Diceros bicornis minor: one gene and its partners. The protein of the gene in region 2 purifies or fractionates together with the protein of the main gene of each other region. This does not show direct contact. Links are inferred from orthologs where the notes say so. Each region holds a gene or a part of one and is shown on either strand. Other genes may lie near its edges.

Region 1 (7,847 bases), on a different chromosome or scaffold from region 2:
ACCTACAATAGGTACGACAATCTTGAAGGAAAAAAGAACAAAGTTGTACAAATTACACTATGAGATATCAAGACTTACCGTAAAAGACATTATGGTAGTGACACAAGAATAGACAGACCACTGATGAGATTAAGAGTTCAGAAACAAATACACACACATATGACAACCTGATTTACAATAAAGACTTGCTGCAATGCAGTAGGGAAATGGTTCAACAAATGGTGTGGATCAACTGAGTATCAATGGAAAAAGTGAATCTTGACCTCTACTTCACACGTGCAGAAAAATTAATTTTAGATGAATCAGAGAATACAATAAAGCCTCAAAGAAAATATAGGAGAATATCTTCATGTCCTTGGAGTAAGCAAAGATTTCTTAAACAAGATATGAAAAGCACTAACCATAAAGGAAAAGATTGATAAATTGGTCCTCAATAAAATGATGACCTTCTTTTCATCAAAAGGCACTTTTAAGAAAGTGAAAAGACAAGCCACAGACTAGGGGAAGATATTGCAAAACATTATCTGGCAAAGGACTCATTTCCAAAATATATAAAGAACTCGGACACATCAATAAGAAAAAGACAGAAAATCCAATTTAAAAAAAAAAAGGCAAAAGAATTAGAGACTTTACAAAAGTGGATATCCAAATAGCCAATAAGCAGCACATGAAAAGGGGCTCAACATCATTAGTCATTAGGGAAATGCAATTTTAAATTACAATGAGATACCACTACACACCCACCCAAAAGGCTAAAATTAAAATAACAAACATACCAAGAAATAGGAAAAATGTGAAGTAACTGGAACTCTCAAACACAGCTGGTAAGAATGTAAATTGGTACAACCACTCGGGAAAACTATTTGCCAGCATCCATTAAAGCTAAACAAATGCCTACCTCCTAGGTATACACCTAAGGGAAATTAATACCTATGTCCACCAAAATACATGTACAAGAATGTTCATAAGAGCTTTCTTCATGATAGCCAAAAGTAGAAACAATCCAAATGTACATCAATAGGCAAAGAAATAACTAAATTGTGAACCTTTATACAATGGAATACTACTAGGCAATACAAAGAACTACCCCTCATCCAACATGGGTTAATCTTAGCCATAATGTTAAAAGAAAGAAGCCAGACACAAGTGATTCCAATTTAGTTAAGGTTCAAGAACACGTAAAACTTATCTATGTTGATAGAAGTCAGACTAGCAGTCACCTGTTTTAGGGGTGAGGCACTGATTACAACGGGGCACACGGGAGCCATTTGCGGTGCAGGAAATATTCTGTTTCTTGATCTGGATAGTGGTTACACAGGTGTATCCATATGTAAAAATTGAGCTGTATACTTAGGATTTGTGCTCATTTAAAAAAATAAAACATTAAGATAATTAACCTTGGAGAGAGAAAGGGGAAGGAGCCAAGAGTATTAAGTCTCTGTCCAATTCATATAGGTGTTATCTCACTATGAAAGCTGGGCACAGTGTTAACTCTAGATTATTCAATAAAGGAAGCAGTGGAATATAACTAAAAATTACTGCTAACTATCACCATCAGATTAAGTCTTCCTTTATCTCCTAAAAAGCAGTTGGTCTCTTACTCTTCTGAGTTTCCACAGATAATTTTTGTATCTTCAAGCCGTAAAGTTGCCTGACATGTTAGTAATAAATGTACTAAGTGAATTAATAATAAGTATATGAACTTTGAAGCTACAGTTCATTTGCATCAGACCATTCTCACATTAAAAGAAAGAAAAGGAACTAAAAAGAAGTGATTAAGAAAAAAGTTTTCAATCTTGTTGGCATTCTCAATCTGTGTCTACTCAGCACTTAGGACGCCATTGGTAATGCCATCTTTCCTACTACGAGACACAACTTTCCTCAAGATCTGACCTTGCTGTCTTTCAGACTCTTCTGTTCCCCAAAAAGGAGAACGGGAATGTACTATTTCCCAGCATAATACAGAATCTTAGCAATGTAAACTGGCATATTAGGTAAATCTTAAGAATTGAGTAAATAGGCTGAACAATTCTGACAACAGCAGCAACGAAATTGTTTTTCCATCTGTTGAGACAACTTTTGGGAACCTGATTCTAACAAACTAGCAACAAACCACAAAAAAAAATTCTGTAAAGGAAGGTCTCTAGTTTCAGGGTAGCCCAAAATACGTTAGCAGAAAAATTAAGTTTTTAAAGCATAAAGTACAGCGTAGGAAACAACGGCTTACTTCTAAACAAGCTGAAAATGTTTCCAATCAATGACACTACACAGCTTACCTGTTCCAGCACATCCAACTTTAACTCGAGCTTGCTGAGAACCACGTCTCCACCCCATAGTGAAAGCTGCAGATCTGATGGCTTTAAGTTCTTGATGTAGCGATTCACATAGCTCATTAAAATTGGAGTAACATATGACTCCAGCATCTTTTAACGTGCAGAGGAGTCGAAGTCAGAAGCTGAAGGGGGTAAAGATAGAAATATTAGAAGTAACTGAGTCGGTGGTGAAGCGAAGGAAAAAACATATCTCTGGAGAGGCTGAAGAGGCCGAAAAGCAACAGTCCCCACCAAAGCGGCCGCTCGCCTCCTCCCACACAAGCAGAGAAAACTCAAGTGGATTCTCGGCTCCAGATGCAACTTTCTCATTGGTACAACTCCCCTCAACTCGCCTGGCTACGAGTGGGAGGAAGAGGTGGTGACCTGAAGACAGCGGGCCCCCCCGGAGTGGGAGAACGAAGTGAGCGGGCTCCCCTTTGGTCACCGCACCCCTTCCCCAGCCCAGCCGCCCCACGAGGCCCTCGCCTCCCGGATCCCAGCCGGATCTACCACCGTAAAGCCAGAAGCAGAAGCAGGCCGGCTCCCGCCCCGCGCCGTACCGCACCCTCGGCTGACGCTCACGCCAGAGCACCATGGCGTCCCCTCCACCTCCCGTACCTGGCAGCCGCCCCCAGCAGCGGCGCAGCTCCTCTACGGAGCCACTTCCGGGTGTGCCTCACTCGGTGCTCAAAACAAACTGTCCCTCCACCGCCACCACTCGACTCCACAGGAGGACCGGAGTTCTCTGGCTGGAGAAGCCACTCAGGGCCCCTTCTAGGAGGAGAGCTCTTACGTTCGGCTAGCCTGCGTCTCCTCTCGACCCCACCAGTGGTTACGACAAAGCTCTAGGAAGTGCCCCGAGGAGGTGGGCGGACCGCTCAACTGGAGACACCGCAGATCCGGAAGTGGCGCTCCGAGAAGAGAGTGGCTGTGGGTCGTGGAAGGTCGAGTCCGGGGGAAAGCACGCAGGGCCGCAGGTCCAATGAGGAAGAAGAAAGCACGTCCTAGTATTTAAAACCCTGAGAAACAAGTAGTAATTGTTTCCCTTGCGAAATGGAAGGCCTGGGAGTTGCAACTTGGGTTCAGTGGGCAGGGCAATAGCAATAAGGCCGCAGGTAGGAGAAGCCAGGGGTGGGGGCGGGGGGCAGACTTAAATTTAGATCTGAGGTTCGTTTGCTGGAAGAAGGGTGGATGTGAAAAGAGAAATTGAAGGGATTAGCATGTGTGATTTAGGGGACTGCGTTTTGACCAAACGTGTGGACAAGCTCTCGCGTTCTTCTACTTTGGCGAAGCAATGGTTAAGTATTCCCAAGTTTGCTGATGCGGGGCGGGGAAGGCCTGGTCAGAGAAGATTGTGGAGAACCATTGGAGCACAGTCTGATATGGGACTTCAGAAAAGCGGCGCGTCTATCAGAAGAAAATGAGACTCCTAGAGACAAAGTGAGAAATAGCTGATAAGGAATGAATTTAGAGTTTTAAGAGAAAGTGTTGGCTTTATTAGGCTGAAATTAATGTATAAATTATTTCCTTCTTGTAACTTGCAACCTAAGTCAAGAAATTCAAACACCTAACTCGGAAAAATATACAGCTTAAAGAGCTTCTGAAGAAAACACCTACTACTGCATTTTGAAAATAGACTTTCCTTATAAAGTTATTAAAATATCCATGTTGTCAGTTGCATTTAATTGAAAATACTTCATGAGTAAATTCCTAAAGCTCTTTCCTGGAATTCAAGTCATGATTTCTTGAAAGTTTTAGAAACTGCAATAGAAAAGAAGCATAAGTGAGGATGCCAAGATGTTTAGATTTATTTTGTTAATGAAAATAATAACTAAATTTCCCCCAAAAAAGAGAGAAGCAGCTAATTGCTAGTTCAGAGCAACTGTCCCGTCACAAAAGTCTTAATGAATAACCCAAGTAATTTGGGTATTATTAAGACCTACTAAATTGGCCAAGTAAATTAAGTAATTTCTTAGTTATCTGCTTCACCTGAAAGGCAAACAGATTGAAGCTACCTTTTATAGCAGGAAGTGTTATTTTAGCTATCACATAGGTAGATAGATAATAGACATGAGCTGAACTTAATCTATTCAACTTGGTTACTTCAGAAACATTAAAATTGTAACTTGATTTACTCATTACATTATCATTGTTTGATTAAATTGTCAAATTTTATTAATTAAATTGTAAAATATAACTTGCCTAGACAATCAGTGAGTTATTCATTGAATACTCTTTACATGTTACACCTCATTTTTTTGTGTATGTGTGAGGAAGATTGTTCCTGAGCTAACCATCTGTGCCAATCTTCCTCTACTTTGTATGTGGGACACTGCCACAGCATGGCTTGATGAGTGGTGTGTAGGTCTGTGCCCTGGATCCAAACCGGCAAAACCTGGGCTGTCGAAGCGGAGTGCACGAAGTTCACCATGCCACTGGGCCGGCCCCATACCTCGTTTCTTTTATAACAAAAGGTATGGCAAGATGAGGAGGCTCAGACATGGAAAGGTTAAGTGAAGGTTAAGTTAACGTTAAGTGTGACCTATGGTCACAGCTAATCAACCCAACACTTATGACTTCAAGTCTCCATTTTTCCCCTTTTGAGAAGGAAAAAAAAAGAAACAGAAAAAAAACCATTAATTACTATAATAATAGAACAACAAAGGAAGTTATCTGGGTTTAGAGTAATACACATACTGGAGCTGCCCCAAACACTTCTGACTAGCTTCCTAAATAGTTACAGCACATAAAGGTTTTATTTTTTGCTGAGGAAGATTCGCCCTGAGGTAACATCTGTTATCAGTCCTCTTTTTTTCCTTGAGGAGTAGCCCTGAGCTAACATCTATGCCAATCTTTCTTTATTTTGTATGTGGGTCACCACCCCAGCATGGCTGACAAGTGGCATAGGTCCGCGCCCAGGATCCAAACCCGTGAACCCAGGCAGCTGAAGCAGAGCGCATCAAACCCAACTACTATGCCATGGGGCCAGCCCCTAAAGATTTTTAATGTAGTGTCAGAGTTAACTGTAAACAAGTCTCTGTCCAAGTCATATAGGTGTTATCTCACTATGAAAGCTGGGCACAGTATAGCTGATAAGTCCAATTGGTAGGAAATCAATAATAATCATGGTTGCTACATTTTATGCTAATATTTAAATATGTTAGTTTCATATTCTGAATTTATTCATTAACTCAAAGACATTTTTTGAATTCCCACTATGTAGTATACACCATGCTAGGCACTGAGGCGTGCCTGCATGGAAGAAGCTCAGTTTCATTGGAATCACAGATATAAATGACTAAAATATTATACGATTAAGTGAAATATGTACAAAGTGCTGTAGGACGTGAAAAAATCATGTAGAACTATGTGAGAAAATCAGTCAAGGCTTAAGAGGAGAGTTATCAGCTACAGATAATTTTTTAATGTTACCTCCTATTAAAGAAGTAGTATTACTCTCCAGAGTGTCAGAGACTAGAACTAGGCAGGGTTCGACTTCTATCCAACTGCAAAACAATGTACTTTTTCCACTGACCTAAGTCTTTCAAAGAAAATCAGGAACTCCTTGTTTGTAATACTCACTAAAATAAATGGATGCTACCACAAGTGGAATGGCCTAGTTTAAGACCCTGAGGACAGAAACAGTCCTACAAACATCTACTAGATCAAAATAAATTGAAGGGATAGGCAGGTATACCAATGGGGCTGAATAAAGAGCCCAGAAATAAACCTCCTCATTTATGGAATCTTGATATATGACAAAAGTAGCACTACAAACCAAAGGGAAAGGGTTTGCATATATCGATAATTGGTACTGGGACAATTACTATCCATGTGGAAGAAAATTAAAATTAGATTCCTACCTAAGACCTAAGAGTGAAGTCCAAGTTTTATGGAGCCTGATATTTATAATTTGGGGATACCCATTTAAGAAAAACAAAACATTTTACTTTTGCAAAATTGTATAAAAATATACAACACATTACTTGGGCTTCTCCCAGGGCCTTAGAAATGGCTTGTGAAAGTAATGGTCTCTGAAGCTTAAGCTTCGTTAGGTTCATGGTGAATGTATCTATGCTCACAACAAACACAAAAATAAACCCCAGATGGATTAAAAACTAAATGTGAAAAGGAAAATTTTTTAATTTATAGGAGAAAAATTGTTATTCCTCAGAGAGGAAGGATTTTTTAAATAAGACAAAAATACTTAAAGAAGACAAACTATAAAGGAAAAGCTTAAGAAGTTTTATACATGAAAATCAAAGCAGTTGTTTATCAAAGAACATGTTAAAGTAGGTTACAAGCCACAGGCTGGGTGAAGATACTCGCAATATATATTAGTTAACAAAAGATTAGAATACAGATTTTATAATGAACTATAAATTAATGAATTAAAGACAATCCAATAGAAAAATGGGCAATTCATAAAAGAGGAAACCCAAATGTCTAATAATCACAAGAAAACATATTCAACTTTGCTAATATTTAGGGGAATGAAATTTAAAACAACAGTGACTTGCTATTTCATGTCCATCAGATTAACAGCATTTTTGATGTCTGATGTCAATGATATGGAATGACTGGAACTAATACACTGCTAGTGAAAACTCCACATGGAGAGGAATTTAAGAATATCCAGCATAGTTGAAGATGCATATACTCTAGCAATTCCACTTGTAGGGTATAGAGAAAGTCTTGCATATGTGCACAAAGAGACATGTTTAACAATATTTTGCAGCATTGTTTGTAGTAGTAAAACAGTAGAAACAATTGAAATATCAACAGGAAAAATGGTTAAACTGTAGTATATTCATATAATGAAATATTATATAGTAGTGAAAATGAATGAGTTAGAACTATGACTTTCAAATATTTTACCTACAGTTAGAAATATAGTTTATACCATGACTCAATATGCATATATATGTATAGAGAACCCTCACAAAACTATACTTAGATTGAGTACATGTGATACATCCTGTTTTCTCTGTTATTCTATTTCTTTATTTTTTGTAAAGTAGTTTACGACCTACCAAATTGATACTGTGAGCTACTAATGGTTTGCAACTCACAGTCTGAAAAAACACTAAACAAAGTTACACATTTATCAACATTAAAAAATCTGAAAAATATAACATTGAGGAAAAATAACAGAGTATAGCATATCGTAGTATGTATACATACACATATATATATATGTATGTATACACACAGTCATGCATTACTTAATAACAGGGATACATTCTGAGAAATGTGTCGTTAGGTGACTTCGTTGTTGTGTGAACATCATAGACTGTACCTACACAAACCTAGATGGTAGAGCCTACTACACACCTAGGCTATATGGTACTAATCTTACAAGACCACTGTCATATATGTGGTCCATTGTTGACCAAAACATCATTATGCAGCACGTGACAGTACATACCTATGGCATTCAAAGAAATGCTATATATTGTGATGGCCACATATATATTTAGAAATAGTATTAAATACTTTCATGACAAAGATAAACACCAAATTCAGGATAGTAAT
Region 2 (8,030 bases):
GACACTAAAGCTAAGAAAATGAAACATGTAGCTATTTAAAATGCTGCAACCACGAGGTCCAGGGTCTTGCAAGCTTCTCTCATTTTGCCTCCTGTGGGACAGTAAAAATTTAGCAGCAGCAGCAGGATGTCCTTGAGCCAAGACACAAGGAAGGAAGGACTCCAGGCTGGACTTCACAAAAACAACCCAAGAGACCCATCAACTTCCGTGTCCCCAGATGAACTGGTAGTCGGACTGTAATGAGAGACAGAAACTTGGTCAAATGACTAACCAAGCCAGATACTAAAGGGCACTTGTAAAGGAGTTCCTATCCCTGCCCTTTGCTATGCCTACACAGGAGGATTCCAGGATATGTGTAAAATGTAAAACAACCTTCCTCCAAATCTTCTAAATCCCCACTCCACTTTCAGCACTGGAAATCCATAGGTAAACAAAGCTTTTTCTTAATAATGGATCTCAATGTTTACCCTCCTAAGGATGCCTTATATGGCAGAAAGTCAAACTGATTTTTTTTATTTCACTATATTTTCCTTTTGATTTGCTCACACCTAAGTGGTATATAATAAACATCTGTTTTATTATGTCTAAAAGATATCCGTATAAATATGTATAACATGTAAGTCTATTTGGTAAGAAAGCATTTTTTCAGTTAAATTTAATTATTTTTTCTTAGTGGTAGATTAAAAATTGTGCATTTTACAATGACATCTTAAATTCTATGAAATAAGGCAGTTAACATAAGTCAAGGGCCAGCCCCGTGGCTTAGCGGTTAAGTGCGCCCACTCCGCTACTGGCGGCCCGGGTTCGGATCCCGGGCGCGCACCGACGCACGGCTTCTCCGGCCATGCTGAGGCCATGTCCTACATACAGCAACTAGGAGGATGTGCAACTATGACATACAACTATCTACTGGGGCTTTGGGGAAAAAAAAAAGGAGGAAGATTGGCAATAGATGTTAGCTCCGGGCCAGTCTTCCTCAGCAAAAAGAGGAGGATTAGCATGGATGTTAGCTCAGGGCTGATCTTCCTCACAAAAAAAAAAACATAAGTCAACATCCTCTCCTATTTTGTTAAGATTTTATTTATTTTTTCCCCCTAAAGCCCCAGTAGGTAGTTGTATGTCATAGCTGCACATCCATTCTAGTTGCTGTATGTGGGACGCAGCCTCAAGCATGGCCGGAGAAGCGGTGCGTCGGTGCGCGCCCGGGATCCGGGCCCGGGGCCGCCAGCAGCAGAGCGCGCGCACTTAACCGCTAAGCCACAGGGCCGGCCCTCTCCTATTTTGTTAAACTGCTACCAAATACCATATGTTTTTGTATAACACGCTCACATTACAACATCACCTGTTTTACGTGTTTTAATCTATCTTTAGGCTCATTTACTACAGTTTTATGATAGAATACCCTCTAAGGCTGTAATTTTTTTTTTTTAAGGAAAAAGACTTACTTTAGATAGGAGGCTTTGAAATGAAACTGAAATTAGAGACAGTCCTACATCAGAGATTTACAATGATTACGATGAGTTTTTTTTAATTACATATAGCCCAAGTCTCTATTTATAGCACAAAGAACGACTAAACTCTTCCCAAAGTAGATCCTTACAATTAATTTAAACTGTGTTGAACTCTTTGTTTATTTTGCAGTTCCTTAACGATGCTGAGGATGCTTAATTCTAAATACCTGTAAAGAACTAGGAACAATGTGAAAACTCAATACTAAAAACACAGAGAGACTAGACTCTGACATCCTGACTTCTCTGACATCCCAGGGACCTACTACTACATGTTGTCAAGCCTCTCAGCTCCCAACAGGTCAGGAACTTGGAACACTGGCTGCAGTAACTACCCTTAAGCTGGATAACCATTCATTCTGCCTCACTGAGTACCTCTTACGTTTCTAACTTGGACAGTAAAAGATCTCAGAATCCTGATTTCAGTTCTCATGAACTAATTTACATCGCCACCTCAAATCACCCAGACTGAAGCCATAATGAGCTTGCTATAATGATACGAAATATGTGGGAAGGAGACTGAGGGAACTGTAGTCAACTAATCTGCAGTTGATAAAGAAAGGGCTCCAAATTTCCAGAACCTTTTCGTTAATTCTGCTTCAGGATTATGTCAAGTATGACTACCCACAACTGTGTTCCAACCCCACTTCCAACAACCTGCCTTAGCTGTAGCCAGAATCCAGAGCGTTCTCGAAAACCACTCACTCAGCAGCTCCCCTGGCTAGTCCGGACTGGCAAACTCGAGCCACTGCCGCTGCCCAGCAGTGCCAACAGCGCCCAAGGAGCTGCCCTCCTCCTTCCTGCTTAAGAAAGAACAGTCCTGGAAGAATGAAGATCTTAGGAAGGAGGATGGAGGAAAAGGAGTTTGACGTGTAGACATGAAACAAGCCCCTCACTCTTCCTTCTTTCTCTATCACCTCCGACTTCTGGGGTAACCGGGGGGCGGAGGGAGGACAAGGTCAATAATGGAGACATACAATCACCTCGGACCCAGACTAGGACTCGCTGGGGTATAAATACGGAAAAAAGGGGGTGAGGACAGCACAGGCTTTGGTGATGCAAAATGCTGACAGACAACAATGCACAGAAGTTAACAAGAGAAGGCGGGGGTCAGGGGCGATGTAAGGCAGTCGTCATTGTCGCCGCGCCGCCTCCCCCACCCCGCCACAGACCTCTGAGAGCTCCTCAGGGACCTGGCTTTTACAGTCAGGACGACCTTCTTCTCTGCTAGAGAACACAGCTGTGCCTCAACTCCCCGGCCAGGCGGAAGCGGGAAGGAGGGCCGACCTCCGAGAGCGCCCCTTCAGGGGGTCCATCCGGACTCGATCTCAAATGGGGGGGGCGCGGAGGGCGGGGCATCGCCTTCACAACTAGGGGCTGCATCATGGCAGGGACGGGTTTCCCGGAGCCACGGAGCAGAAGCTCGTCCCTTCCACTACCCTGTCACCCGGTTACCTCTTCGCGTCTTCGTCGTAGAGCAGCTCTGGCTCGGTCGCCGCCATTACCACATCGCACCCAGCGGCAGCCGCCATCTTACCGCCGGGACCAGAGAGCCGAGTGGGAGGCAGGCGGTGAAGAGCACTTCCGGTCGGAGCATCGAGCAGCTCGGCGGCGCTGCGCCCAGAGGGGCTCCCTCGAGCCCGTCTACCAGCGAGAGGCTCTACTTGGGGCCAGAGCGGCCTTCCGCCCCCGGAGGTCCACGGTGGTCTCCGCCCCGGGGCGGGGGCCCAGGCACGATTCCTGTGCGTAGGGGGCGCCACTGTACCCGTGGGTCGGAATAGGAGGGTCTAGCCTCTCTAGGTTTTGGCTTCCCTCAGTATTTCAAGAGCCTCGTTGCCATAGCAACCTCCAATCCTAGAGAGTCTCCTGTAACGCTCCGGAAAGCCTGAGCTGGGTGGGAACCCAGTGACCCAGGACTCTGGAGGGAACGAGCACCCTCGACTACCTTCCCGACCTTGGAGTGTGTCCACAGCTTCCTCCTGGGAAAGGCAAGAAGAGACACTTTGAGCCCGGTTCCCCAGCGTTCATCGGCCCCTGGAAGCCCTGCCCAACCAAGCCAGGGAAACGCAGGGCGTCTTCACCCCGCGCCTTTCATCCCCTCCGGATCTGCAAGCGTCAACTGGTTCATGACTCTAATGACGCTGACCCTTTTACGAGGCTGCTTTCGTGTCAGCCGGCTAGGAGTGCCATCTCAGCATTAAGGCTAGGGAGGGTGGCAAGCCCCAGACCCTGCCCTGGAGTTTATGAGGCAGCTCCCGGGGTGAGCTCCCTGCCCCAGTGTCCCCCGTACCCCCACCCCTCAGATAAACTCGCTGCTCAGCGCGCTTGTCTTGCCGAATGCAGTCTGGATTGGGAACTCAGAGGGCAAGGACGCTGCCTAATCGTTTTTGTAGTACTTCCCTCACCCAAAGCAATATTTGTGGACCTGAATTAAATTGGGGTTTTCTGAGGTTAAATTGGGGGAATTTGAGGTTAAAATTTTTAAGCTAAGGAAAACTAAAATAAGAAGGGGGCGTGGGCACTTAAAAAGGATCTACTCTGTTCCTCCAGTAAAATAGTGTGTGCCCTTGTCCATAGGCTACTTGTATGGTCACTGCCTATCACAGTGCTAAGGGAGGGGAATCCACACCCATGCCTGAGTAGGGGAGGATGGGAGAGGCTCAGTGGGTTGGAAGAGAGGTCATCCATCCAGCTAATCATTCAATAGCCCTCCCAAAGTGCCCACTCTCCCTGCTTTAATTGGGAGGGCACAGACTCACAGACCACCTGCCCTGCCTGCCAATGGCTCCCAGTCCACAGCCTCATGCGGGAGGCAGTCTTGCACCATCTTCCCACTTTGTGTTCCCTGCATCTATGCCAACTCATCTACTCTCACAGCTTTAACTTGATCTGTCGTTGACTCTCAGCTCTGTTGATATCTCCAACCTAGACCTCTCTTCTGAGTTCCAGATTTGTATATTCAACTATCTACCGGATATCTCTTGGATGTTTCACAAATCCTCAAGGCTTAACATATTTTTTTATTTTTTGGTGAGGAAGATTAGCCCTGAGCTAACATCTGTTGCCAATCCTCCTCTTTTTCTTGAGGAAGAGTGGCCCTGAGCTAAGAGCTGTGCTATCTCCGTCTATTTATATGTGGGACACCTGCCACAGCATGGCTTGATAAGCGGTGCATAGGTCCATGCCCGGGATCTGAACCCGCAAACTCTGGGCTGCCAAAGCGGAGCTCGTGAACTTAACCACCACTTGGCCGGCCCCAAGCTTAACATATTTAAATTGAATTTGTCATTCTCTCCCCACCCCTCAACAACTGAAAAACAAATGCTGTACTTGATTCTCTTTTCCTGAATTCCCTATCTTGTTGAACGGGTCACCATTCACCTGGTCACCAAGTGAGAAAGATGGGAAACATCATGAACTCCTCCGTCTCACTCCTGACTCCTAACTTACCACCAAGTCTTGTTGATTCTCCTACCAAATGTCTCCCAAATCTATCACCTTTCCATCCCATTTCAGGTTCCCGTCATTTTTTAAAAACTTGGAATACTACCAAAATCTCCTAACTGGCCCCCAGTCTCATTTCTCTCCAATCTTCAGTCTTCTGCCAAAATGACCTTCTTAACAGCAAAAATTGATCGTATCACTTCACTAGCATAAAACCTATCAATGGCTTTCCACTGCTGTTAGGATACAGTTTGAGCTTTTTGGCCTACCACCCAAGATTATTTGGCTCCTTTCTACCATTAGTATTGAACTCAAGTACTTGTAGTTCCAGAAAATGCCATGACTCTTGCCATGCTTTCTCCACCCTTTCCTCCCAAGCCCTTTAAACCTCAACACAGACATGACCTACTCCAGGAAGCTCTCCATGATGCCCACTGCCTCCAAGTTAAATGCCCCTTTGCTGTGCTCCCATAGCTCCTCTGTGATAGTTCTTGCCATACTGTACTGTAATTGTTGGTTTAGATGTCTGGCTTCTCTAGACGGTGACATTCTCATGGGCAGCTACAGTGTATAATTCGTCTGCTTTTTCTCAGCTCTTGGTCCTGTACCTGACACAGAGTAGGTGCTCAGAAGACATCTGATGAATAAACGATTGAATAAATGAAGTGTTACTGAACTATGGTAGCCTTTAGGGAAAGAACATTTGGTCATCAGACCCACCGGACCAACAGCCCGCGTCCGGGGAGCTGGAATCATATGCGCTCAACCAGCCCAGGTCCTGGCCGTCCTTTCCCCCGCCGGCGTCTGGGGGCGCTGTGAGGGCCGTGCCCGCTCTCCGCCGCCGGAATTCGTCTTGCCGGACGAAAGCTAGGGGGCGGGGCCCGCAGAGCCTGGCTCGACCCGGAAGAACGGAGGCCTTGCGGCCGTGCTGCCTTGCCTGCGGTCCCTGCGTTCCTCGAGGGGCCCGGCCGGGGTGCTGCGAGGGCCCCGGGAGGTACGGAGCTGGCAGGCCAGGGTCAGCTACCGTGTCTGGCCGCTTTAGGTGGCAAGTTTCTGCGGCCTCTGACTCCCTCTGGGGGTCCCATCGTGGGGAATCTGGCGGAGGCCCCTCTGGCTTTCTCATGGGTATCCCTTATTCCGGGGCTCACTACATACATGGGGCTCCTCGGGGGGGAGTGGGGAGGAGGGTCCGACTCAGGAGTTTCCGCTGGAGAGGTTTCTGTTTGAGACCCCTTTTGAGTGTGATCTCTGTATTTCTGCTCCCTGGGGGACTCTGGGGCTTCTTCTGGGAAGCCTGTGTTTAGGATGCTTTCGAGGAAGTCTCTGGGGCCTCTTCGGAGAAGGAATTTCTGTGTCTGAGGCTTCTCATCTGGGTCTGTCAGTCTAAGGGTAGACTTACCCTTAGGAGGGTAAGGAGGAGACAAAAAATTGTCTCCTTTTCGAAGCCTTTTTCCCTTAGATTTCTTCACTCCTGTCTTTCTTGTCTGATGTTCTTCATCTTAGCCATGGACTTGACTGGGAATTAGAGGTCATTGATTGTCGCCTAGATAAGTCATACAGGAAAGCAGAATATCCTCCTTATTTGCTCATTTTCCCCAGGAAGAGTGGCTTAAGACAGATCCACACAAAATAGTATTCCTGCTTATTTTTCTGTGGGGTGGTGGTTAAAGAGAGGAAGCTGAGCCAGAGCTCCCTTCAGCAACTGGTCCTCCACATCCTGTGCACAGAGAAGAACATGACCAGTGGTTCCTTTAAACCAGCGACCCTCTACTCTCTTTATGGCAACATATACTGAGCACTTGCTCTCTGCCAGTTCCTGGCCAGATACTGGGAATAACAAAGATCAGTAACGTACAGCTGCCTGTCTGGTAGTGGACACAGACACATCACTTCAATACACCCTGACTAGAGTAGGGGTCAGTGCTGAATCCCTAAGGCTATGCATTCAGTTCAGAACTTGGGCTCTCAATTATAGGAGGTCTGCCCTTTGTTTTGATCCCACCTCACCCAGTGTGCTTCTGTTCTTCAAGGTTGAAGGCTAAGCATGGGGAAGAGCTGCAAGGTGGTCGTGTGTGGCCAGGCATCTGTGGGCAAAACTTCGATCCTGGAGCAGCTTCTGTATGGGAACCATGTAGTGGGTGAGTGTTGTTGCAGGCGGGGAAACAGTGGAAGAATTTGAAGAATAAGGAGTAGGATTTGATCACAACACACAAAGGCTAAAAGCTGCTCCTGGTGGTTATTGCACCCGAAAGAGGAACATGTACATTTTAACCCGCAACCCTACAACACTGAAGAAATCTGGAGGAAGGAAACTCAATATCCTGGATGGGGAGGAAAAGCTCCCAAGTTACCCTTTTGCTTAGGATGGTATGAGCATGAGATTAATATCTTCCCCCGAATCATTCCAGTCCTGCCAGACTCGGTCTCTGGCCCCCTCTCCCCAGCCCCCACATTTCTTTCTCTCCCTGTCTGGTCAGCCTGTCAGGATATACCCAGTCACCCATGTTTCCCATCTCCCTCCTCCCTGCAAACAAGTTTTCTCATTTTATCCCAGGTTCTGAGATGATCGAGACGCAGGAGGACATCTACGTGGGCTCCATTGAGACCGACCGGGGGGTGCGGGAGCAGGTGCGTTTCTACGACACCCGGGGGCTCCGAGATGGGGCTGAGCTGCCCCGGCACTGCTTTTCCTGCACTGATGGCTACGTCCTGGTCTACAGCACAGATAGCCGAGAGTCCTTTCAGCGTGTGGAGTTGCTCAAGAAGGAAATCGACAAATCCAAAGATAAGAAGGAGGTGTGTGTGGGAGCCCTGGTGGTGGGAGAGAGTGGGCCCTGAGCTGCCTTGGGGAGGCTCGGCTTGGCTCTATTTTTCATTCATTTCCCAAGAGGTGGGTTAGCAGCTAGAGGGGGGATGGAGGCCACTGGAGGGTGGCTTCACCCCTAGAGGTGGCCACATGTTGAGGCAGCTCAGCCAAAGAGACTTTTCAGTTTAAGAGGTCCCTGATCTAATGCATGAGCCCCCATTAGTGTTTTTTTATAACGATTCCATGCACTTAGCTAAGAAGGTCCTTCTGTT
Region 3 (8,047 bases), on a different chromosome or scaffold from region 2:
GTCCTGTTCTCACCCTTCACAGCCTCCCTAAGCGAGTCCATCACGCACTTCCATGGATTTAAGTCCCACTGCCACACGCGCCTCAAACACTGACGACTCTCAAACCTCTATCTCCAGCGCCGACTTCTCGCCTGAGCTCGAGTCACGACTCCAGTGCCCTTCTGTTCATCACTCCCTAGGTCCTCCATAGCTCTTCGAACCCCACATGTTCCAAGAGAGGTTCCCTCGTTTTCTATTTCAGTTAAAGGTACTGTCCTCCACCCGTTCACTCATGCCAAGGAGTCATCCGAGACCCACCTTTGCTCTCCTTGCCTAGAGCTTTCACATTTCACTTTTCGAAGATTCCTTGAGTGCCTCCTCTTCTCTCCAAACCCAGTCCTGCCTTTGCTCCAGGGGTCACCATCACTCCCTGACTTTAAGCTTAATTAATTAGGGTTTTCAATCATGATTTAAGAATTTTTGTATCTTCAGCACCTACCTCCCTACTTGGTACATTGTAGAAGCTCAAACATGTTTCCTGAAATGCATAAACTGCCTTTCTACCTAAAATGCAAAGAGACACTTGTAATTTCCCTACATAAAACCTTCTGATAGCCTCCTCAGGCCTATAGGATAAAGTCCAGAAGCAAAGAGGGCCCTTCAAGGTCTGTTCCCTTTTAACCTCTGTAGCCTTATCTCTTACCACTGTTCCCTCAAAAGTTTTGCTTCAGCAGTGTTTTGTGTTTTTTTTAGTGAGGAAGATTGGCCCTGAGCTAAGGTCTGTTGCCAATCTTCCTCTTTTTGCTGAGGAAGATTCGCCCTGAGCTAACATCTGTGCCCATCCTCCTCTATTTTGTATGTGGGATGACCACAGCATGGCCTGCACCCAGGATATGAAGCTGCAAACCCCAGGCCGCTGAAGCGGAGCACGTAAATTTAACCACTACGCCACTGGGCTGGCCACTTCAGCAGTTTTTTTTTCACTCCTCATAGTTCTTCCCAAATGGGGCATACCTCTGTGCCCTTGTATTGATCCCATTTTCTGCCTGGAATGCTCTCCGGCTCTGCCTCCCCCCCCCCCCCCCCCCCCGCCCCAAATCACTCACTCCGTCTTCTGAACACTTTTGCCCTTTTAACATACATCTTTCTATTGTGGCCTTCATCACAGGATTATAATGGATTCCATTTGGGCACCCTCACTAGGCTGTGAACCCTCTTGGGCAGAGACCATGTCTTACTTGTCTTTTCATCCCCAGCACCTAGCACTATGCCGAGTGCACAGTAGGAGCTCAATAAATATTTATTGACATGAACTACCGCACAGGTGGCACAAACTTCAATCCTGCACGTCCATGTTAATCATGAGACATCCTGCCTCCTTCAGGATGTCTTCTTGAAATGATCAAAGGACAACAGGAAGTTCTTCCAACTTAAAACTCCAATGCTAATGCCAACCATTAACATTAGCATATCTACCCAGGATGGTCTAACTAACATCTAATATCTTATGGTAAAACTAGGTATGGAATTCACTTATTATTCCTGTTATTCACATCTCCTCCTATTTTAGGTGGCTAGCTTCTAAAGGTAAGACTGTCTGGGTCAGTTATCCTGTGTAGCCACGTGGTCAGGATCTTCCAGCCAGACACAGTTTCAATATATTCTCAAACCAGTACCTATATGTACTCAGTACAGTGTGGCAAGCCAAATGGTCATTTATTTCTCATTCAGTTGCCCAGGTCAAAAAAACCTTGGAGTCATTCTTGACTCTTCTCCCTGATACTGCATCCATCCATCAACAAATTCTGTTAGCTCCATCTTCAGACCATACCTAGAATCTGACCACTTCTCATCACCTCCACTGTTTCTAACCTACTCTAAGCCACCGTCATGTCTCATCTGGATTATGGCAACAGCACGCTAATAGGTCTGTTTCTGCTGTTGTCCCCAATACTCTCTTCTCCATACAACAGCCAGAGTGATCCTTTTGTAGGTCTTACAAAGTCCCACATGATCTGGTTTCCTTCTTTCTCTGACCTTGTCTTCTACTACTGCTCTTCTGTCATTCATATCAGTCTAGGCACACTGGCTTCTCTGTTGGCCCTTGAACACACTAAGCATAGTTCTGACTCAGGACCTTTGCACTTGCTATACCTCTGCCCAGAATGCTCTCACCCCAGCTATCCCTCACCTTGTTAAGGTCTCTGTTTAAATGTCACCTTATCAGTATGGCCTTCCCTAGTCACCCTAAAAAGCAACTACCACCTCCTAGCTGCTTGCCTGTTCCTCTTTCCCCCTTCTACCTCGCTTTATTTTTGTCTATATCATTACTATATCTCCAGAGCCAGGAACAGTACCCGACACATAGTAAGTACTAATTCAATAAATATTTGTTGAGTTGATGTGGATATAAAAACAAACTGAAAAGCTTATTTTTAAAAAATTCTCCTGAGTTACTCACTCTGATCTGGTGTCCACTGTACAACCCACTCATTCTACCTGAGGCACCTCCGTGCTAATTTTCAGGGTGTTTCTTCCTCCCCCAATCCATATGCACATATACATACACACATACACTCAGTCACACCCATTCACTTTGGCTCAGGTAGGAAATCCAGTCTCTTCTAACTCCCACATCACTGCCCCATCCTCACTCTGTTCCAGTATCCAACTGCCCTGGGACTGCTCCAGACCTCCCATCCAAAGAGGGCCCCTTTTCTGGCCCAGCTCTGCTCTCTCAAGGACTTCCTGACTTTGGCTCCATCAGATAGAGCAGTGAATATAGGAACCACTTTGTTTCTCTTCCTTCCCAACAATCTTTATCCTCCTTGTGTTAAGCTTCAGCCCTGGCAGGGCCCACTCTCTCTCCTACATCTTATCATCTACAGGACATTCCAGTGACTGAGGAATTTCTGTTCATCAGAGTTCATTGGACAGAGATGGGAGGGAGGGAGGGAGGGAGGGAGGGAGGAAGGAAGGAAGGAAGGAAGGAGGAAAAGAGAAAGGCAGGGAGGGAGAAAGGAAGGACAGAGATGAAAGGAAGGAAGGAAGGAGAAAGAGAAGGTGGGAGGAAGGAAAGACAAGGGAGGGCAATGGAGAAGGAAGACAGACACAAACTCTGGTTCTGGGGGAACAGAATGATTACATCCCTTCAATTCCTGGAGTAGATGGCCGCCTATATGGTAAGTCCTTGAGGACTCTGACAATGAGCTCTTGCATCTCCTCCTTCATTCCCACCTGTTCAAGGATTTCTTTTTAACCTGAGACAAAGCCCAGGTTTGGAGTTTTGTCTCAGAGTTAGAAAGCTAAGTTGTAATTTGTAAATATTCCTAGGAGAGGTAATACATTGATTTAAAATCATGCAAAGGTAAAAATGGCTGATATCAGAGTCTTAAGTTTTGGAAGAAAGAAGAGAAAGGGCTTTAGGCACCTAAAGGCAGTAGGTAGAGGATACCAGCTAATGGAAAAAGAAAAAAAGGAGGAGGCTAGAAGCTAAGTTGTATGTCCAGTTCTGTTGAAGGATGGACATGATGGAATGAGAAGAGAGAAGCTGGAACTTGAGCTTCCACTTAACAGTTAAGCCTGGGCTGTAGAACTCTCACTGGCGTAACTTGATCACATGTCAAACTGCTTTTGTTTGGGGCAAGAGAAAAAGGGGCACTTGCATGGTGGGATCTCCAGAGACAGAGCATCTGGAAGATAAATCAGAAAGACTTTACTGCGTCTTTTCCCCAAAAATATCAATGAAAAACAAATTTTCTTTTATTCTTTGTCTTTCTTTGGCTTTGCCAGTCTGCCAGTTTCTAAATTATCTGTCTCTGTTCCCCTATCTCCAAAGAAACCTGAGAAGCCCTGCTCCCACCTGAGTCACCAGAGACCCCCTCCTCCTTCTCCCCCAGGGAAGTATTGGGAACAAGTCTTTCTCATTGTAAGGCTCCACAGAACATAAATATGGCTAGCAGCCAGAGTAAAGAACCAGAGAGAGCTAAAGGTTGGATGAGTCTGGTTTAAAGTCCATCTTAGTCCAAATCCCCTGACACCCAGGAGGAAGGCCCTTCTCTCCAGCTGGGCCAGATTTTATGCAAGACATTTAGTATGTCAAAGTATCAGTCTTTGGCCTTGGAGTCAGGTCTCCTGGGTCTGTTTTCACCTCCGCCCCTGGGTGATACGGGTTAATGGAGCTCTCCACCCTTTCTTCTTCTCTCAAACTTCAGACCCTTGACCTACCTACCTGACTAGAGGCAAGTAAGATCAGCGCAGGACTGGGAGCTCTTGAGGACACAGGAGTTAGAGAAAATAAAGGGGAGACTGGCACTAAACTAAAGGATTTCAGAACTAGAGCCTTTCCCCTGGCCGACCCTTCACAGCAGGGTAACTGAGGGTTCCAGGAGCCTCTCCCAAGCCAGTTCCCAAGGGGCTAGAGTTCCAGCCTGGCCGAAGAGCGCCATCTGGCGGCCAGTACCCCCCCCCCCCCCCCACTGGATTCTCCTTGCCCTATCCCGAGTTCTCGCAGCCAGAGCTAGACCTGGGCAGAACTGTCACCTCCTCCTCTACGTCACTCCGAGGACCCCGCCCTGCCTAGAATGCACCTCCCCCGCAAAATTGCCGCCCTTCCTCCTCCCCGGGCTGAGCGCTTCTCCGGTAGAAAATCTGCTTTAAGCTCCCCGTAGGGATCCGCCCCACTTCCTCGCCCACAGGGAGCCCGCCCCTCCCCCATGGGAATCTGCCCCGGGTCCTCTTCCTTCCCCCAAGGGAACGTGCCGCACCGCCCTCCCTCCTCCCCCGCCCCGGCCCGCCCGAGGAGTCCACGCCTCTGCTCCTCCCCCACACCCTTACAGGGAGCCTCTTCCTGTCCACAGAACCCAAATCCAGGTTACTAACGAGGCTTCCCCTCCCCTCGTCTCCAGCGAACCCCGCGGCCCCGGATCAGCGGCCCCGCGCCCCGGGAGCGCGCCCTCGCCTTCTCCCCACGCCCACCAGGAGGCGGAGCTCCGCGGCCCGGCCCCCCCCGGGGGGGGGGGCTGTCCCATCGTGACGTCACTTCCGTCCGGGCCTGGCCGTGCTTCGGGCTCCGTGGGCCGAGGGGGGGGACGGAGGTGGCAGCTGTGGGAGGAGGCGGCGCGGGAGGCCGAGGAGCTCACGACAGGACCAATCCGGCGTACCGGGCCGCAGCCCTCCGATCCTGCAGTGCACCGAGAGGCGAGACCAGCCGGATGGGCCGCTGAGCCCGAATCGGGGACCGGTGAGCCTGGAGCAGAGCGGGCAGCCGGGTCCGGACGGGAGCGGGCCTGCAGGGCTGCAGGGTCTGGGAGCCCGGGATGCCGGGAGGGGAGAGGGTCAGGCCTGCCTCTCCTGTGCGCCCGGCGAAGGCAGGGGTCGGGGGAGCCGCCGGCAGGCGCGGTGGGGATAGTGAGGCCCGCCCGGGGGAGGCCTGGGAGCGGCTGGTGTAAGGAGGGGGCGGGGTGGTTGGGGTCATTAATGGGGCGGAGGGCCAGCATTGGGGATTCGCATCCGGAGCAGTGGCGTCAGGGGAGGGGCAGTATGCTTCTGGCCTAGGGCTTCGGGAAGAGGATGGCTCTGAGTGGGGAGGCAGAAAACTGAGAGGCTTGAAAAAATTTTCCATGGCCCTCCTTGAGAGAGGGATTTGAAGAGCTCTTCTCTCCCTAGAGGGTGGTGGTGAACACCTGGAGAAGGGTCTTACTGGAGTTTAGGGGGTCAGTTACAGTATAGGGAAGGGACAGTGTTCTGAGAGTCCCTACTCTGAGCCGGTGTGCAAAAAGCCTGGCCGCCTCCAAGTATTTGAGCCTTCACATCTTTACAGTGTGGAGCCCCCTGGAGCTAAAATCAGGATGTTCCGCTTCATGAGGGACGTGGAGCCTGAGGATCCCATGTTCCTGATGTAAGTACTCCCCCCCTCATGCTCTAGAGCACTCATCCCACTCCACTTCAGGGCTCTGAGTAATTCAGACAGACATCTGGGTTCCCATTGCTGGCCCTGATTGGAACTGGCTGGATACTCAGCTCCAGCCCGGACTTAAAGAGGATACAGACATCTGTGCCATTGTTTCTCTACTACTGTTTTCTTTTTTGGGGGTGAGCGGGGTGTTGATTACTTGGTCCTTCTACCATCCATACTGTATACTCACTCCACAGGGACCCCTTTGCTATTCACCGTCAGCATATGAACCGCATGTTGTCAGGTGGCTTTGGATATAGCCCCTTCCTCAGCATCACAGATGGCAACATGCCAGGGACCAGGCCTACCAGCCGCAGGATGCAGGTAATGGTGCTGCGATATGCCTGAGACCCAAAGACAGGCTGGAGGGTGGTTAATAAAGCGCTTGATTTGTCTTGTACTGCAGCCAACTTAGCAAGTGGAATGATCTTCTAGAAGTGGGGAAAGGGTCTGGGAAAAGGGCTTTGTGAGAGGAGGACAGAAAGACAGCTGAAGCCGTGGGCTTGGTTTGGGACTGTAATAAGATAGGATGAGGTCTCTAATTCCTGTTCCTTACCTGTTCCTGTAGGCTGGGGCTGTCTCCCCCTTTGGGATGCTGGGAATGGTGAGTCCTCATCTCCTCATATCTTTCCATCTCAGACATACTCTATACCCTTAGATGTTATTTCCAAATGTGCCTCTCTGAAATAGCCTTGTGGGTAACCCTAGAATCTTTTTATAGTGTTCACAGAGCTCTGGGCCTGCTGGGTGCTAAGACCTGTGAGTTAAAGATGCTAACTTATTGACTCTTATACTTCTAGGAACCATATCCATTAGGAAAATGTAATTGTCTAGCAAAGTTTGTTCTTTTGAGGAGGGAGGTGAAGTTGAAGGGCCAACTTGAGATGATTTTTAGAAGTCTTTTTTTTTTACAATTTCATGCCTTTATAGGTTAGAATCCATTAACTTTGGCTTGCTTCCTAAAGATAGGGGGAAATAGGGCAGTCAGGAGAAGGGAAATTGGATCCGAGCAGCCGCAAAGACTGAGGAGGAGGGCGGCAGTATGGAGAAGAGAAACATGCAGATAAGCATGCAGTGTTCTGGTCATGTTCTCCAAGAATGAGAAAGAGCAGTTGCTAGATGTAAAGGAAGAAGAGAAAGGGAATATGCAGCCACGTAGCTAGTGGGTCCCTGAACAAGATAAGCTGAACGCTGACTTTGCTTTCCTGACTGTTCTCCATCTCTCTCTCTAGTCAGGTGGCTTCATGGACATGTTTGGGATGATGAACGACATGATTGGGAACATGGTGAGACTCTTGCCCCATACCTTTTCCAGGCCCTGCTCTCAGCTCTGGCCGGCAACACCTTGAGTCCTCTGAGGCAGGAGAGGGAAAGAGTGTGCTAGTGAAGGGTTCAAGCGGGGTAAAGGAATTGAACCCAGAGAGCACTGGGTTCCTGTATGTGCTCTCGTGCCTGAGTGAAGCAGCAGCAGCACTCTTATTAAGTATGCAGTTAAGGCTCAATCTCTTAAGATCCTTCTTGTTTATTGTGGACTCAGAGGTATTTGGGGGTAATGATGAGTCTTGATGTTTTCTCAGTTCTCAAATTTTGTGAGAAAGATACGGGCAAGAATAGGCAGCTGAAGTGTGGGGTCCCTTCTCCAGAGGGGAACCCCTCCCCATTCAGTCCTGCTGTACCCTTTCCTCCCCAGGAACACATGACGGCTGGAGGCAACTGCCAGACCTTTTCATCCTCCACTGTCATCTCCTACTCCAATACTGGTGATGGTGCCCCCAAGGTCTACCAAGAGACATCAGAGATGCGCTCAGCACCAGGCGGGGTGAGTGGAAGGGCTTCTAGGCCAGAGAAGGTGGGGTTGAACAGCACCCACAGAAACCCTGGCTTTGTTTTTCAGGATTGGGTTGTGGGTGGTTTGTCTGTCCTGGGCTGGCACAGCCAGGGCTTTGGAAGGGGCAGCTGAGTGTGCTGTGTTCTGCCTCACCTCAGATCCGGGAGACTCGGAGGACTGTTCGGGACTCAGACAGCGGACTAGAGCAGATGTCCATTGGGCATCACATCCGAGACCGAGCTCACATCCTCCAGCGCTCGCGAAACCACCGCACAGGGGACCAG
Region 4 (7,333 bases), about 30 Mb from region 2:
TAGTAGTTCTTGTCCCCTTTTATGAAGATAGTTGTAATTGACTAATTATTCTGTGCCAGGTAGATTCTAGGCACTTTTACATATTATCTCATTTTTTTATTTTTTATTTTTTGGTGAGGAAGATTGGCCCTGAGCTAACATCCATTGCCAATCTTCCTCATTTTGCTGAGGAAGATTAGCCCTGAGCTAACATCTGTGCCAGTCTTCCCCTACTTTGTATATGGGATGCCGCCACAGCATGGCCTGATGAGCAGTCTGTGCCCAGGATCCAAACCTGCGAACCCCGGGCTGCCAAAGCAGAGCGCGAGAACTTAACCACGAGGCCGCTGATTCCGGCCCCACATGTTATCTCATTTAATCACATCAATGATCCTTTGAGGTAAGTATTATGACTATCCTCATTTTACAGATGAGTGATAAGAGGCACTTAGAGATTACGTAACTTGCCCAAGGTCACACAGACAGTTATCATCAGAGCAGGAACTCAACCCCACCCCCATCAGTAGACCCCAGCGTTCACTGTGTTTACTACCCCACTGAGCTTCCCAAGCATGTCCTTGGTAGGCATTGATGCCTTCAGCCAGGTCTGGGGGGTCCAGAGCACCCTAGCCAGGGATTCTAAATGCCCTCCGCTAAAGCTGTGCAAATGCTATATTATCATTCCCTATGGGTGTCGCGATGTGCGAAAGGTTGGGAAACACTGCTGATTATACTGTACTGCCTGACTCAGACAGAAATCTGGTTTTTTGTTGTTGTTGTTTTTCGTGTGTGTGTGTGTGTGTGTGTGTGTGTGAGGAAGATCAGCCCTGAGCTAACATCCATGCCAATCCTCCTCTTTTTGCTGAGGAAGACGGGCCTTGGGCTAACATCTGTGCCTGTCTTCCTCCACTTTATGTGGGACGCCGCCACACCATGGCCTGACAAGCTGTGCTTGGGTGTACCCCGGGGATCCCAACCAGGCCGCCAGCAGCGGAGTGCGCGCACTTAACCGCTACACCACAGGGGCTGGCTCCAATGATTTTTTGTTTTTAAATCAACTTTATTGAAGTAAAAATCCACATAGAATTTAATGCACACATCTTAGTGTACAGTTCAATGAGTTTTGGCAAGTGTATCACCACGCCCGTCAAGAGACAGGACATTTCTATCACCAAGTTCCCTGTGTGCTGCTTTACACTCAATCTTTTCCCCACCCCCTGCCACAGGCAACTACGGATCTGATTTCCATCAAAATAGATTGGTTTGGCCTGTTTCAGAACTTTATATAAATAGAGTCATTTAGTATTACTCTTTTGTGTCTGGCTTCTTTCAGCATAATGGTTTTGAAATTCATCCACGTTATTTGTACTAACAGTTTATTTGTTCATGTTTTTTGTAATAATAGCTTTATTGATATATCATTCACATAGCATAAAATTCACCCTTTTAAAGTATACAGTTCAGTGGTTTTTACTCTATTCACAGAGCTGTACAACCATCACAACTAATTTTATAACATTTTCATCATCCTCAAAAGAAACCCTGGGGCCCGCCCTGTGTCCTAGTGGTTAAAGTTTGGTGGGCTCTGCTTCGGCAGCCAGGGTTCGCTGGTTGGGATCTCGGGTGCGGACCTACACCACTGATCAGCCATGCTGTGGGGGTGACCCACATACAAAATAGAGGAAGATTGGCACAGATGTCAGCGCAGGGCCAGTCTTCCTCAAGCCAAAAAAAAGAGGAAGATTGGCAACAGATGTTAGCTCAGGGCCACTCTTCCTCAGCAAAAAAAAGAAACTCTGTACCCATTAGTAGTCACTCCCCTGTCCTCCCTCTCCCCAGCTATTGGCAACCATTCATCTACTTCCTTTCTGTATGGATTTATTTATTCCAGACATTTCACGTAAATGGAATCATACAATAAGAGGTCCTTTGTGTCTGGCTTCATTCACTTAGCATAATGTTTTCAAGGTTCATCCATGTTGTAGCATGTATCAGTACATCATTCCTTTCTATGGCTGAATAATCTTCCATTATAGGGCTATACTGCATTTTGTTTATCCATTCATCAGCTGATGGACATTTGGGTTGTGTCTACTTTTTGGCTATTTGAATAATACTATTATGGACATTCACGTACAAGCTTTTGTGTGAATGTATGTTTTCAATAGCCTTGGGTATGTACTTAGGAGTGGAATTGCTGGGCCTTATGGTAACTCTCCATTTAACATTTGAGAAACTGTTTTCCAAGGTGGCTGCACCATTATACACTTTATTCATTTTTATTGCTGAGTAATGGTCCATCTACCACAAATTCATCAAAATCAAAAACTTTTGGGGCTGGCCCGATGGTGTAGTGGTTAAGTTCATGCTCTCTGCTTTGGTAGCCTGGAGTTCACAGGTTCGGATCCCAGGCGCGGACTTGTGTACCACTCATCAAGCCATGCTGTGGCAGTGTCCCACAAACAAAATAGAGGAAGATTGGCACAGATGTCAGCTCAGGGCTAATCTTCCTCAGCAAAAAGAGGAAGATTGGCAATAGATGTCAGCTCAGGGCCAATCTTCCTCACCAAAAAAAAAAAATTTTGCTCTTCAAAAAGCACCATTATTTTAAAAAGACAAGCCATTATTATGGGAGAAAATATTCGCAATACATATATCTGATAAAGGATTTGTATCCAAAATATATAAAGAACTCATAATTCAATAAGACAAATAACATAGTTTCTGGGCCGGCCCCGTGGCTCAGCGGTTGAGTGCGCGTGCTCCGCTGCTGGCGGCCCGGTTCGGATCCCAGGTGCGCACCGACGCATCGCTTCTCCAGCCATGCTGAGGCCGCGTCCCACATAAAGCAACTTGAAGGATGTGCAGCTATGACATACAACAATCTGCTGGGGCTTTGGGGGGAAAAATAAATAAAATCTTTAAAAAAAAAGACAAATAACAGTTTCTAAAAAATTAGCAAAAGACTTGAACAGATACTTTACAGAAGATATACAAATGGCCAATAAGCACATGAAACATGGTCAACATCATTAATCATCAGAGAAATGCAAATAAAACTGCAATGATGTACTATTTTACACTTATTAGAATGGCTAACATTAAAAAGATTGACTATCGGGGCGGCCCCCTGCCTTAGCGGTTAAGTGCGCGGGCTCCACTGCTGGCTGACCCGGGTTCGGATCCTGGGTGCGCACCCACGCACCGCTTGTCCGGCCATGCTGAGGCCGCGTCCCACATACAGCAACTAGAAGGATGTGGAACTATGACATACAACTGTCTACTAGGGCTTTGGGGAGCAAAAAGGAGGAGGATTAGCATGGATGTTAGCTCAGGGCTGATCTTCCTCACACACACACAAAAAAGATTGACTATCAAATGTTGGCCATGCTGTGGAACAAGTGAAACTACCATACATTGATTTCGGAAATGTAAAACAAAACAACTATTTTGGAAAACAGTTTGGCAGTTTCTCATAAAGTTGAAATGCACTTATTACACGACCCAGCAACTCCACTCCCAACATATATCCACACAAAGACTTATACAGGAATGTTTGTTTGAGCTTTATTCACAATAGACAAAAACTAGAAACAACCCAAATGTCCATCATAAGAAGAGATAAAGAAATCTGCTTTAGGAAAAAAAAAAATATTTTGTCTTTTAGAACCTGAAAATTTTCGTGTTTCCCCCTCGACTGTAAGTTCCAGGAGACCAGTTCCGTGACTATCTTGTTCACTAATGTACGCGCAGCGTCCGGCAAGGAGCAAGTGCGCAATAAATGGTGAATGAATGAAAGAATGCAATCTTGCGTACATTAATGAATTTGTGGCCACCATCCCTTGGCCTTTTATCATTCCTTCCACCTGCAATCATCTAGGCCAGGCCCGATGTGATTCGCAGCCGGCCCGTGAAGGGGGCACCCGCAAGTCCCTGCCGCGGAGACGCATCCCGCCGGGAGCCCAGGCAGCGCCGGCGGCCGGAAAGGGCCTGGGGGCCGCATCGGAGCGGAGGAAAGTACGCAGCGTCGAGCGCCCAGAGGGCGGCGGCGGGCACGCTCGGACCAACGGCGCGAGACAGACGGACAGACCGCTGAGAGAGCCTGTCGGTGGCACGAAGCGGGCGCGCGGCGCCGCAGCACAAAAGGCGGCCCCCGGCCAAGGGCTGAGCGCAGGACGGCGGGGCGGGCCGAGGGCGGCGGGGCGGGACAGGACAGACGAGAATCCCGCGGAGGTGAGGCCGGGGGCTGTCCCGCCCCCGAGGGCAGGCCCTGAGCGCCGACCCCGCCCCGGCCCGCTGGGGTGTGGGCTCGGGCTCGGGCTCCGCTCGGCTCCCTCTGCTCGCGAACCCGCGCCGGCGCCGGCTGGGGCTGCCCGGGTGAGGGGACCCGGGAGGGGGCGCCGCGGAGGTCCCGGGCCCTGGGAATTGGGCGGGGACGGGAATGGACCCGGGCTGTGGCTCCTGATTCAGCCGCACGCTCAGATTTCGGGGTTTCACTCCCGGACGGGGAGCGCGTAACTTCCTCATTGCCGCCTGGACCCCTTCTCCTGGCCAGCCGGGCCTGGCTTGAGCCCCGGCAGCTCCGGGCCCCTTCGTCCTCCCGGGGCCCCTTCCCCTGCCTTCTGCTCTGCCCCAGTTCGGGGCCATCCGGGCCTGGCTGGGTGTTCTTCGGCGCCCTGGTTACTGGACGGGAGGCGGGGCTCAGGGATTCTGGATGAAGGACCCAGGTAGGGGATGGAGGTTAGAGGCGGCTTGGTAGTGCCTTGCAGACTGATGGGCCGTAATCAAAGAGACGTTGGGAGTTGGTGGGGTCCAGGTGGGTGGGGCAGAGGGGGACCTATGGGAGATGGAGGACCATGGGGGTAGGATGAGGGGCAGGGTTCTGCAGGGCAGATCACCTCCCTGAGGCCTCCCCGTATTTCTAGGATGATGACGACCCCCGTGACCCTCTTCCCCTCCGGGGACGACCTGGACTCCAGCCAGTTACAGATGGAGCCCGATGAAGTGGACACTCTGAGGGAGGGAGAGGACCCAGGTACACAGGGAGGACCGCCCTCAGGGAGAGGAGGAAGAGGGGGCTGAGACCTCCTGGGGTCTATACTCCTCCACTTTCTTCCCAGCTGACCGGATGCACCCCTTTCTGGCCATCTACGGCCTTCAGCCTCTGAAAATGCACCCCTTGGTGTTCGCCACTGGGGTCCCTGTCACAGCCCAGGTGGTGGGCACTGAAAGATACACCAGTGGATCCAAGGTAGCTGGGCTGGTGCCAGGGAGGGGGATAATGGGAGGGCTGGCCAGAGTAGGGGGCTGTGACCCAACCAGGGGACATCCATTCAGTTCTTCACACCCCCAGGTGGGAACCTGCACTCTGTATTCGGTCCGCTTGACTCATGGTGACTTTACCTGGACAACCAAGAAGAAATTCCGTCACTTCCAGGAGCTGCATCGGGACCTCCTGAGACACAAAGTCTTGATGAGTTTGCTGCCTCTGGCTCGGTGAGGGGGACCAAACTGCTTCCTGTGATGGGCAGGTTGCCCTCACCCTGTGGCAGCATGGGCTGTCACTGCCCCAGCCCCCATCACTCCTTCCTGCCTGTCTCACCCCTAGGCCACAATCTTCCCCACCCCAGGTACTGTCCTCCCCCAGCTCTGGCCACTGGGCCCCCTGCCCTGACCCCGGTTACCAGGAAACCTTCTCTGCTCAGCTCTCCCTGTCTGTGGTTCTGTGCCAGTATCTCAGCTGGGCTGCATGCCCAAAATGCCCGTGGCAGCCTCCCCTGTTTTCTTGTCTCCATTCTCAGAGTAGGGGGCCTTCCTTCTGTGAGCCTCTAGGCCTCCTCCCCTGTCCAAGACCCCATGTCCAGTGCTTCAGGAACCCAGGCACTCAGCCTCCCAGCTCTTTCTTAACCCTCACCCCATCCCTTCCACAGCTTTGCCGTTACCCATCCTCCAGCCCAAGAGGCAGGCAACAGAGAGATGCCCTCCCTTCCTCGAGCAGGTGCTGAAGGCTCTGCCAGACATGCATCCAGCAAACAGGTGTGACCAGACCTCAGGTCCTCTGCCAAGGCGTTTGGTGTGCAAACGGCTCTGGTCCCATCTCTCTCTCCCTGTCTCCCATCCCTACTTTAGAAATACCTGGAGAATTACCTCAACCGCCTCTTGACCATGTCTTTTTACCGCAACTACCATGCCATGGTAAGGTTCCGGGGCTGGATACCTGCGTCTTTTGAGGTGGAGCAGAATAATCAGACCCCCGAGGGGCAAAGGATTAGGGTCAGTAGGGTCTGAGGGGCTGAAAACCAGTCTTTCCTCTGAGCCTTTGTCTTCCTCTGCAGACAGAGTTCCTGGAAGTCAGTCAACTGTCCTTTATCCCGGACCTTGGATGCAAAGGACTGTGAGTGTCTGACACTCCTCACCCAGCCATCTGCAAACATCTGGATCTCTCCCTGCCTGAGAATGGGAAAAGCAGTGCAGGGTGCCCTGGGGGTCTGGATTCCTCAGCCAGCATCTCTTCCTGATTTTCCCCACAGGGAGGGGATGATCCGGAAGCGCTCGGGTGGCCACCGTGTTCCTGGCCTCACCTGCTGTGGCCGGGACCAAGTTTGTTACCGCTGGTCCAAGAGGTGAGGCCTGAAGTGGAATAGCTGGGCAGTGGGTGGAGTGAGGAAGGCGATCCGAGGGCAGGGAGGAACGGATGGAGCCCTTCTGCTCCAGGTGGCTGGTGGTGAAGGACTCCTTCCTGCTGTACCTGTGCCTCGAGACCGGCGCCATCTCATTTGTTCAGCTCTTTGACCCTGGCTTCAAGGTGCAGGTGGGGAAAAGGAGCACAGAGGCCCGGTATGGGGTCCGGATCGACACCTCCCACAGGTAAGGCCTCTCTGGCGTGGACAGACACCTAGTGAGCGAAGAGCCAGCTGAGGGCCCTCAGTGGGGTTGAGCAGAAGAGACCAGGGAAGAAAAGAAGGCATTGCCACCCGCCTGGAGCTGGCCATGCTTTGGAACCAGGGAACTAGTCTGGCCAGTTCCCTGCTTGGGACTGCTCTTAGAGTCTGGGCTTAGAGAAAGGGGGTTGAGTATAAGCTTGGAGGAGGGACTCTTGGTGTAAAAGAAAAGGAACTCCATTCATTAATTTATTCATTCAACAAACCTGAGTGCCTAGCACAATACTAGGTGCCTGGGACCCAACTGTGAATAAGGCAGATAATATGTCCTGTCCCTATGGAGTTGTGAATTAGGGACTAAGGGAGGAAATGGGAAAGAGGAGATGGCTAAAGTAGGGAGGTTTTTGAGCTGGGCCGGAGGCGTGGAGGGCGAGGATTGTGTCCATCTCATTGTTCCTGTCCAGGTCCCTGAT

The links.
Region 1: the proteins of DNAJC7 (region 2) and VPS13B purify together in Homo sapiens (co-immunoprecipitation; 3 studies listed by BioGRID and IntAct, counting the BioPlex papers as one, with this or other methods). This does not show direct contact. The link is inferred for Diceros bicornis minor from reciprocal best matches to the Homo sapiens genes DNAJC7 and VPS13B.
Region 3: the proteins of DNAJC7 (region 2) and MLF2 purify together in Homo sapiens (affinity purification with mass spectrometry; 3 studies listed by BioGRID and IntAct, with this or other methods). This does not show direct contact. The link is inferred for Diceros bicornis minor from reciprocal best matches to the Homo sapiens genes DNAJC7 and MLF2.
Region 4: the proteins of DNAJC7 (region 2) and PLD2 purify together in Homo sapiens (affinity purification with mass spectrometry; 3 studies listed by BioGRID and IntAct, counting the BioPlex papers as one, with this or other methods). This does not show direct contact. The link is inferred for Diceros bicornis minor from reciprocal best matches to the Homo sapiens genes DNAJC7 and PLD2.

Annotation. Positions count from the first base shown.
Region 1 is NC_080760.1:17,756,851-17,764,697, reverse strand, and holds the start of VPS13B (intermembrane lipid transfer protein VPS13B), read right to left. Parts: upstream 3,179-7,847; 5' UTR 2,931-3,178; intron 2,891-2,930; exon of another isoform or gene 2,823-2,890; intron 2,456-2,822; 5' UTR 2,424-2,455; coding exon 2,277-2,423; intron 1-2,276. UniProt on the Homo sapiens protein: Mediates the transfer of lipids between membranes at organelle contact sites. Binds phosphatidylinositol 3-phosphate. Functions as a tethering factor in the slow endocytic recycling pathway, to assist traffic between early and recycling endosomes.
Region 2 is NC_080757.1:41,231,783-41,239,812, forward strand, and holds the start of DNAJC7 (dnaJ homolog subfamily C member 7), read right to left. Parts: upstream 3,070-8,030; 5' UTR 3,041-3,069; coding exon 2,964-3,040; intron 1-2,963. Other genes in the region: NKIRAS2 (NF-kappa-B inhibitor-interacting Ras-like protein 2), read left to right, coding at 6,997-7,090, 7,507-7,748. UniProt on the Homo sapiens protein: Acts as a co-chaperone regulating the molecular chaperones HSP70 and HSP90 in folding of steroid receptors, such as the glucocorticoid receptor and the progesterone receptor.
Region 3 is NC_080756.1:54,978,463-54,986,509, forward strand, and holds the start of MLF2 (myeloid leukemia factor 2), read left to right. Parts: upstream 1-5,082; 5' UTR 5,083-5,172; coding exon of another isoform or gene 5,173-5,455; intron 5,456-5,800; 5' UTR 5,801-5,828; coding exon 5,829-5,878; intron 5,879-6,132; coding exon 6,133-6,259; intron 6,260-6,503; coding exon 6,504-6,539; intron 6,540-7,167; coding exon 7,168-7,221; intron 7,222-7,625; coding exon 7,626-7,754; intron 7,755-7,921; coding exon 7,922-8,047. Other genes in the region: PTMS (parathymosin), read right to left, coding at 4,892-5,082, 5,173-5,455.
Region 4 is NC_080757.1:11,591,589-11,598,921, forward strand, and holds the start of PLD2 (phospholipase D2), read left to right. Parts: upstream 1-4,297; 5' UTR 4,298-4,356; intron 4,357-4,378; exon of another isoform or gene 4,379-4,706; intron 4,707-4,904; 5' UTR 4,905-4,905; coding exon 4,906-5,014; intron 5,015-5,099; coding exon 5,100-5,230; intron 5,231-5,332; coding exon 5,333-5,475; intron 5,476-5,909; coding exon 5,910-6,015; intron 6,016-6,108; coding exon 6,109-6,174; intron 6,175-6,314; coding exon 6,315-6,373; intron 6,374-6,509; coding exon 6,510-6,602; intron 6,603-6,693; coding exon 6,694-6,846; intron 6,847-7,324; coding exon 7,325-7,333.